2 linked regions of the Bombyx mori genome follow. The main gene of each other region encodes a partner of the protein of the gene in region 2 in a complex. Links are inferred from orthologs where the notes say so. Each region holds a gene or a part of one and is shown on either strand. Other genes may lie near its edges.

What was found.
Region 1: the proteins of T-complex protein 1 subunit gamma (region 2) and viral IAP-associated factor homolog are in contact, whole or in part, in a cryo-EM structure (PDB 8I6J), measured with the Homo sapiens proteins. The link is inferred for Bombyx mori from reciprocal best matches to the Homo sapiens genes CCT3 and PDCL3. Residues at the interface, in NP_005989.3 of Homo sapiens: Met47, Pro53, Met54, Val58, Met59, Thr60, Asn61, Asp62, Ala65, Arg68, Glu69, Arg167, Ile258, Glu261, Phe264, Leu268, Gln269, Glu271, Ser297, Asp298, Leu299, His302, Ser380, Glu382, Ile383, Arg389; in NP_076970.1 of Homo sapiens: Glu66, Ala70, Met73, Tyr74, Arg75, Arg77, Arg78, Trp82, Leu182, Pro212, Lys213, Ile216, Glu217, Asp218, Val219, Arg226, Leu229, Met230.

What each region holds. Positions count from the first base shown.
Region 1 is NC_085131.1:763,761-768,152, reverse strand, and holds the start of viral IAP-associated factor homolog, read right to left. Parts: upstream 3,099-4,392; 5' UTR 2,949-3,098; coding exon 2,943-2,948; intron 2,859-2,942; coding exon 2,726-2,858; intron 1,779-2,725; coding exon 1,550-1,778; intron 1,375-1,549; coding exon 1,166-1,374; intron 642-1,165; coding exon 529-641; 3' UTR 1-528. UniProt on the Homo sapiens protein: Acts as a chaperone for the angiogenic VEGF receptor KDR/VEGFR2, increasing its abundance by inhibiting its ubiquitination and degradation.
Region 2 is NC_085127.1:10,948,902-10,952,670, forward strand, and holds part of T-complex protein 1 subunit gamma, read right to left. Parts: intron 3,649-3,769; coding exon 3,494-3,648; intron 2,896-3,493; coding exon 2,727-2,895; intron 1,986-2,726; coding exon 1,893-1,985; intron 978-1,892; coding exon 863-977; intron 1-862. UniProt on the Homo sapiens protein: Component of the chaperonin-containing T-complex (TRiC), a molecular chaperone complex that assists the folding of actin, tubulin and other proteins upon ATP hydrolysis.

The sequences.
Region 1 (4,392 bases), on a different chromosome or scaffold from region 2:
CTGTAGCCCTGTGTGAGTGACCAACTGCGCTGCGACGCGAGGCTTATTTGTCCTCATTTATAAGAGGTCAGTGAGCAAATTTTTTTTTTTCAAAGGATTAAATAAACAAATGCCCTTTGACCTGACCGTTTAAATCAAAATATATGACTTGAATTTCATACAGTCACATACTTTCGCAAGTTTTGTTGTAACAATTAAATCTAGTTATATCAATTGTTTGCGACTAAAGAAGTTTTAATTTTTATTTGAATCAATTACCACAAAAAGACTGCCATCAGACATGGGTTAACCGGTCTCTGTATATACGCCATTACTATAGATTTTTTTTTACAACGGGGTCCTATATAACAACACAAGTTCACTTGATAATGATGCTCATTTAGCACAAACCTTAATATATTAATTTAATACAGTTCACATAAGAAGCTTTTGATAAGTAAAGCGACAGAATACAGTTTAAAAAAAAAACATACTGTTAGATGTAACATAAAATATAAATTAACTTTAACATAAATTAATATTCTAAAATCACCAGTCATTACTTCCAAGGTCAGTAAACAACTTGTCTTTGATCTTTGGTCGGGGATCTTCTGTTATGCTCGTTTCGACAGCTCCAACCTTACCGAGTATGTATTCGAGTTCTGGAAATTCAAATACATTTATTTTATTACTTTCCACTAGCTCATCTCAATTTGACTATAATCACTAATATCTCACGGTTCAGACTCATTTTATTCATTATATTTTCATTTTTGTCTATTTTTCAATGTCAATATAATTTAATTCATACATAACTCTATAACAACCACTACAAAAGTGAATTGATTCACAAAGTTCACATAGAACTATTGGCCATGCTATATAAGGTATCAAGCTATCAATTACCATCATTTAAAAATTGATTTATTCACAGCTACTTCAACTACAATACACTGTATTGAAGTTCACTCTTGGTGGCAAAACGGATGCTTCTCAATGGAGACTCACATGTTATACTGCTACTGACTAAATTACTACTACTGTATTAAATTTGCTATTGGTGAGAAGCAAGCCTTGTGGTGCTATTGTTATATGATAACAATCACTAATAGTAATCCTTACTAAAAATGTAACCAATTATAATTAAATTAAAAAAAAACTATAAAAATCAATTCTCATAGCTTACCATCACAAGTCAAACTGGTGCCCCTTAGTTCGTGGGACCCCACAAACTGCTGCTTCATTTCGCCCTCAAAGTAAACAAATAAACTAGGCAGATTCCTCTCTGGGAAGTTTGGGATGCAAGTCTGAGCAATGGCTTTCAAGAATTTTGTGTAGGGAAACTTGACTGCTAATTCTCGTAGATGTTGATTTATTAGTGCACATTGTTGTATTCTGAAATTTTTTGATTTATATGATTGATAATAATCATTGGAGCAGTCTGCAGATAAAGGGTCATAATGGCCCAATGACATAAAAAGTCAGTGCTAGGTTATCTAGAGGAAAAAAACTACATACATTGATATTGGTTTATCTAATGTCTTTATATCTTATTCATCGTTCCACTCACCCCTGTTTGTACAAATGAATGACCACCCAAATGTCTTGACCAGCCTTGTTAACCTCCTGCACATAATCTTGACCAGAGACTTCTCGCACTTCTCCGAATCTAGGCTTCTCAGACAGCTTCTTAATTTCTGCTAATCGTTTCCTGCGGTACTCTTCTATAACAGCCTCATCTTCTGAATCTTCAAGTTCGTCCAATCCATCAAGGTCTAACTCAGATAATTGTTTTTGTTCTGTGAATAAGTAAAAATTGTTATTATTGGAGACCATCACAGTCAGTCCAGTTAATTATGTAGTTTATAGTGTTCAAAACACTTGCCAAGGGTGGCTTGAACTCTCGTCCTCAGCATACAACTATCTACGATGGTGTTTTGGCTGATGTTAAAAAAAGTGTCCCTATCAACTGAACTGGCGTTCTACCAATGAAATGAACTCATTAACTATCCTATCAATTCTCTGCACCCAATAGGTGATGATTACTACATTTTTGAGGGAGTCACTTCTTAAATTCGTAGGGTTAATTGTTCAGTATGTCAGAATGGAAAACAAAACACAAAGTTAATTGTAAATTCATAGCTGAACATTTATAATTATAATAATACAGAGTGTGACTAACATTTTGTCAGATCTTTAAGAAAAATATTTCTTTAAACATTAGTAGTGTCTTAACATGTCTTGTTATTCCTGAATATTTTCAATTTAGTTTATATATAAATTCAAGCAAATGTATTTTGATGTAACAAATAATCACCAAAAAATTCATAATTGGTGAATATTCATTATCTATGCCAGTACAAAAATGAATGCGTCCCACTTAACTGTACTTACTAGAGCTAATTTAGGTGATGAGTCTCGCTTGGCTGAACATTTCATAAGGTGTTGGATGCAAAGAATTTTTTTAACAAAATGATTGAATTGCAGAAAGAAAACTATTAATTTGGTGACTGTTTAATTCCAGGATTCATTTAGTGTACTGGTGATGCATATCAATTATAAACTAGACTAGTCTAAAGGAATGTATAATGAATAATGAAATTATAGGTACTTAAACCAAAAAGTTTCGAAGTTCATTACGTTCAGTGTTTCCGGGTAATGATTCACTGTTGATTACTGATGAGCCAATACATATTGCATTTACATCGTAGAGCTTAACCTCAAAAATTCGTATTTGTTGACCTACTTTCAGCTTCCTTTTGCTGTATTGTGTCCTCTATCATGTTCACAATATCGGCCTCCGAAAACTCCGCTTCTTTCTGCGGTATAATACCCATCTTTCGAAGGGTATCGTTCCATTCTGTATCTTCATTGGGGTTCTAAAAATAAACAACAAAATAAAATTAAACTTTTCACTTTAATGTACTGCACATCATTTTACTGATAAGTTCCATTTATTATACCTGCATTTTATTAAATTAACAATTAAAATTCTAATAGTTGAAATACATAAACTTGCTCCAGCTTTTCAGGAAATTTGACACCAGATATTTTTTCCATAGACTTAACATTGAGACAGGCAAAGGAAACTTTGTCATGAAATATGTAGAACAATAGGTACCATGACATGGGGTAAATTGGGATCCTGGGGTAAATTGGGACAAACCTGCGGAAGATTCTCAAAGTACCTGTAGCACGGAATTTACCTAATTTTGTTTAAGTTAATATTTATCAATGTATAGAAGAAAAACCAAGTTAACTATGGAAGTACTAAATATGAGTTAAGTTGGTCCCAAAAATTCGTCAAATTAAATTGAAAATAGTGGTTGAAAAGTGAGTTTTAAAACAGCTTAAAGAACTTTTAAAAAAAGTAATATTATCGTTGTTTTTTCAATAAGATCACAGTTTATATAAGTTTTTAATACACCTGGAAATACCACAACAAACGGTAAGTTGCAATATTCTTATTTTAAATACAATATTTCGACAAAATAAAAAATGTATATTTTTTCCTTTCTTTTTGGGGAAAATTGGGACGTATGTAGGGTAATTGGGAACGAGACTGGAAAAATTAGGGACGAGAAAACACAAAATTGGAACGCCAAAAGACAAAATAGGGATGGCTTGTTAGGGTTGTCACTGATATCTTATAATAGATTTTTTAGCCTATACTATCACTTAATTGCGTGATGTAAAGAAGGTTAATGTGTTTATCAGTTAGTTTATGTAAGTATTATAGGTAAAAGAAAAGTATATATATAATTACTTTTTTTCGCGACATTTACCTTGTAATATCTGCCCGGTCGTATGTTCTTTATAGCAATAAAAAAAATTAAAAGTTAAAAGAACTCAAACGAATCAAAACTTTTGTTATTTCAGAATCTATTCACGCATCGAATCATGATTTTGTTAACATTCAAAACGCACACACAAATAAAAACAGGCCTCAGATTTTAAATGTAACATTAATTAAAAATCCGATATATCCAATTATGAGTGAGTGAATTAATTGAGTTTAGTTATTTAGCTTAGAAAGAATTTCTTTTATTTTTGTTATTATTGGCAGTAATCAGATAAAGCTGTTTTTTTATCTTATTCACCTGATATCTTACTCTTGCTCAAAGATTATTTTGAAAATGTTGATTAAATAAAATTGTATTATTGCATTTCCAGTCCTTTTGTTTTCTATTTTTTATTCTATTTTATCAATTTGTTTCAGAGTTGTGATTTTTAAGGAAATTAAATAATAATTTTCTAAAATATAACATGCACATACTTTTTTTGATCATTGTATTGTTGATTATCATTCACGTCACATCGCTTCGGAATAGAAACCAGCTTAATTTACACTATGTTGTGTATTGTGCTTAAATTATGGATTGTATTCATCATTTCGGTCCATATAAATAATTA
Region 2 (3,769 bases):
AACGTTCTCGATAGCGTAAAAGTTAACTCATGTTTGTATGAAATCGTTTGCGTACGTTTGCCGCTAGGGGCGCTGTTCCAACTGCATACAAAATTGGGTTAACTTTTACGCCATCGAGAACGTTAAGAAACTCGCACTAAGCACGCGGAACTCTGGCATTACGTAACGTTCTGAGCGCAGTGCAGCCTGCAAGTATTAAAATCTCTAGAGATTCATATTCTAAATATTAAACTTAAATTTTTCCTATTTACTTCTAGTATTGAAAAAAATCAGAATTATTGTTGTGTTCGCATTATCTACAATACAAAAATGTAAATATAATTTTATCATTCACTGATCGTAATGAAGTTCATAAAAATCGGCCATGATATTGGCAGAATATGCGAGGATCAAACTAAGCAGATTGATTAGATCTGTATATGCCAGTTGTTTTGAGGATCTTCCGCCTTTAAAGGTTTGAGTAAGGGTCATGGCACACTATGCAAGCACTGCAACGGCACCGCTTCAGCCCAGTGAATAATAGCTTGTCATTTGAATTTGATCCTTAAATCGTATGTCGTATAATATGTTTCGTAACGTCGGTTGCGATATCGGGACAGTGGTGGGGAAGACCCTAAATCACCTCGTGTATAATCAAATCGTAACCCGATTTTTATTGTTTACCATAAACTCTAAAAATCGCTGGGGCGAGCTCACGACGATTATCCCCACCACTGCCGTCCCGATATCGCCACTGATTTTAGGGTCGTGCGTAGGCCGCTTGAAGCTTCTTTCATAGCGCATACGTTGTTATGGACACGTTCACAGTGTACTGTACTATATATTATTAGCTAAGCATAGGTATACAGCGGGGTGCTAGTACCGAGCGCGGTGGCGACGGCCCTGTAGGGCGTGTTGTGCGCGGCGCGGTGCGACAGCGCGCTGGACACGGCCATCTCCGCGGCGCCGCCCCCCGCCACCAGCCGCGGCGACACCACCTGCACGCACAACATTATATTATAATCAATTTCAATACCATCATTATGTATTTGTACATGATGGATATATCGATATCATAATATGGGCAATTTAATTCTACCACTTCAAAAAATTCTGTAAAAAAAAAGGTAAAATAAACAACCTTTTTAATTATAACTAGCGACCCGCCCTCGCTTCGCTTCGGAAACATTAAATTTTATTATTGATAGGCGAGTCCCGCCATGTTTGGCGCGGTACGACAATAACTGCGGGTGAGGCCGCGGGGCGGAGCTAGTCTAAAAAAAGTAGCCTAAGTTACTCCTTATATCATCAGCTACCTATCCGTGAAAGTCCCGTCAATATCAGTCCAGTCGTTCCAAAGATTAGCCGGAACAGTCAGACAGACAGACAAAAATTGTAAAAAATGTTATTTTGGTATATGTACCGTATATATATTCATATGTATGTAGTAAAAAGAGGCTATTTCAATATTACAAACAGACACTCCAATTTTATTTATATGTATAGATATTAATTCTGCAATAGTAAGAAAATGAATAACAATATTAAACAACTTCATTTTAAGTACACAAAATAATTATATTTACCCTAAGTACTAACTAATAACGTATCTCTAGTATGAGTTCTGTTTAAAATCATTAGGACAGAATGGGCATTTAAAATAATAAATTAACACTTATATTTGTTTTGTATTACATTTTGAAAATCAATCATACTTTTAAATGTGGACATTTATTGGAATTACCAAATGTCTTAGTTCTCTCTTTTTTTAATCATACAATGACTTTATATAATTATATAAAATAAGAAAGATTGTATTTTTTTTAAACCAATGATTTCTTAATCGAATATACGATTCGAAAAAAAAATGCAAATTCATATACAGTAGATAGATAATGTGTCAATACACTTACCAAATTCTTGGCGACGTGTAAAGCGTCTTGAAGATTCCTTTCAATCTCATTCAGGACATCCTTAGAAGCACCACGGAGTAATATTGTGCATGCCTTCAAAATGTATTTTTAGATTATTATTCCATTTTATTTTACTCATTTTCTATATTCATTTTAATAGTTGAGAGGAGAAAATGCATATCGTTAAACTATTATTGTAATACTATGAAATTATTGTTAGGTATACTATTAATCACTCCAGGTCAAGGAGCAAGCGCAAGACAGGGTAAAGTGGAGACAACTTGTGAGAGCCCTATGTACTAGCGGGGTATCCTAGGACAACAACAACAATACTATTAATCAAGGTAATTTACGCTGCACTGTCCTCAGTAGGTCATTGATGCTCTTTTTTATTGTTTAGATAGGTGAACGAGCTCTCGTCTCATGTTAAGGGATTGCAACCCACAGACATCAACATCAATGTTGTCATCGTCCTTTATTATTTAACCAGACAATTTAACACTCACTGTTATCATGTTTGATGCATTAAGAATCGCCAAACATATTAAACACTGTTTAATAGTGAGTTTATTTTAAAAAAAAAGATGAAGTAGTAATAACATCTACTATTTAAGTGTTTGTGTGTTTTTCTTCCATACATTCTTAATGCACTTCTTCAATTGTTTTGAGACTTGGTAGCTGTAGCTGGTACTTCAGGGAATAATTATTTTACAGTACCAAGACATGACAGGTGGTAAGTGAATAGTTTCAAGAAATCTATGTCTTACATACAAGTAATGATAATCACAGCAGAATGTGAGCAGATTAGTGATTTAAATATAATTAATTTAGTACCTTGGGGTTCTTGCATTCAGTGACAAAAGTGAAATATTCATCTCCGATCTTCTTGATCTCAAACAGTCCAGCTCCAGTGCCGACATCGGATTCCTTGAGTTCCTCAGTACGGTTGACAATTGTTGCTCCACACGCCCGCGCTAGACGGTTGTTGTCCGTTTTACGGAGTCTAGAATGATTTTCAATTAATTAAACTGAGAAATAAAACTTTAAAGGTGTCTGCTCAATACTGTAATGGCAAATACAGAACTGAACTCAATAATTCTATCCAATCATATCGAAAATTTAGTTTATTGCTCACAAAGCGGAAATAGTTGATTGAATGTTAAGTGGTTACGAGTGTGTGAGTTTTATGATCTGCATAAACCTCAAACCCTCACTGCACCCTCCACATAGGTCATCTATCAAGTCATAGTCTCAAATGTACCAGAATGTACATGCGTCAAATGTACCAGAATATCTTTATAATCAGAAAGCATGGTGATTTACTGTGTTATAGTTACATTATTGTTACTACATTACATTATTATTACTACATTACATTATTATTACTACATTACATTATTATTAGACATAGTATTATTTATAGTTACAAGACATAATGATAGCATGCTCAAAATAAGAGATACCACTAGTTAGTGTGGTACTTACTACCTCCAAAAATGTGTTAAATTATTACTACCCTTTTATTAAAGCAGCACATCAGTCACAATGAAACAAAACAAAGAAGGCTTTATTCACATATTATACAATGTGAAAATACATACCTGCGGATAGCAGTAATTCCAGCCTTAACAAGGTAATGTTGTGCAAGATCTGAAACTCCCTTTTCGGTAAAGACAATATCTGGTTTAAGTGCAATAATTTCTTCACATTGACGCTGTACATGTTCCTCTTCTAGTTGTAGCAGTTTAGTGAAGTCCTATAATAAATAAAATCATGTTCGTTATGATCAGTCAAATTCTACATTCTAATCTATGTATATATATAAAAATGAATTGCTGTTCGTTAGTATCGCTAAAAGTCGAGAACGGCTGGACCCA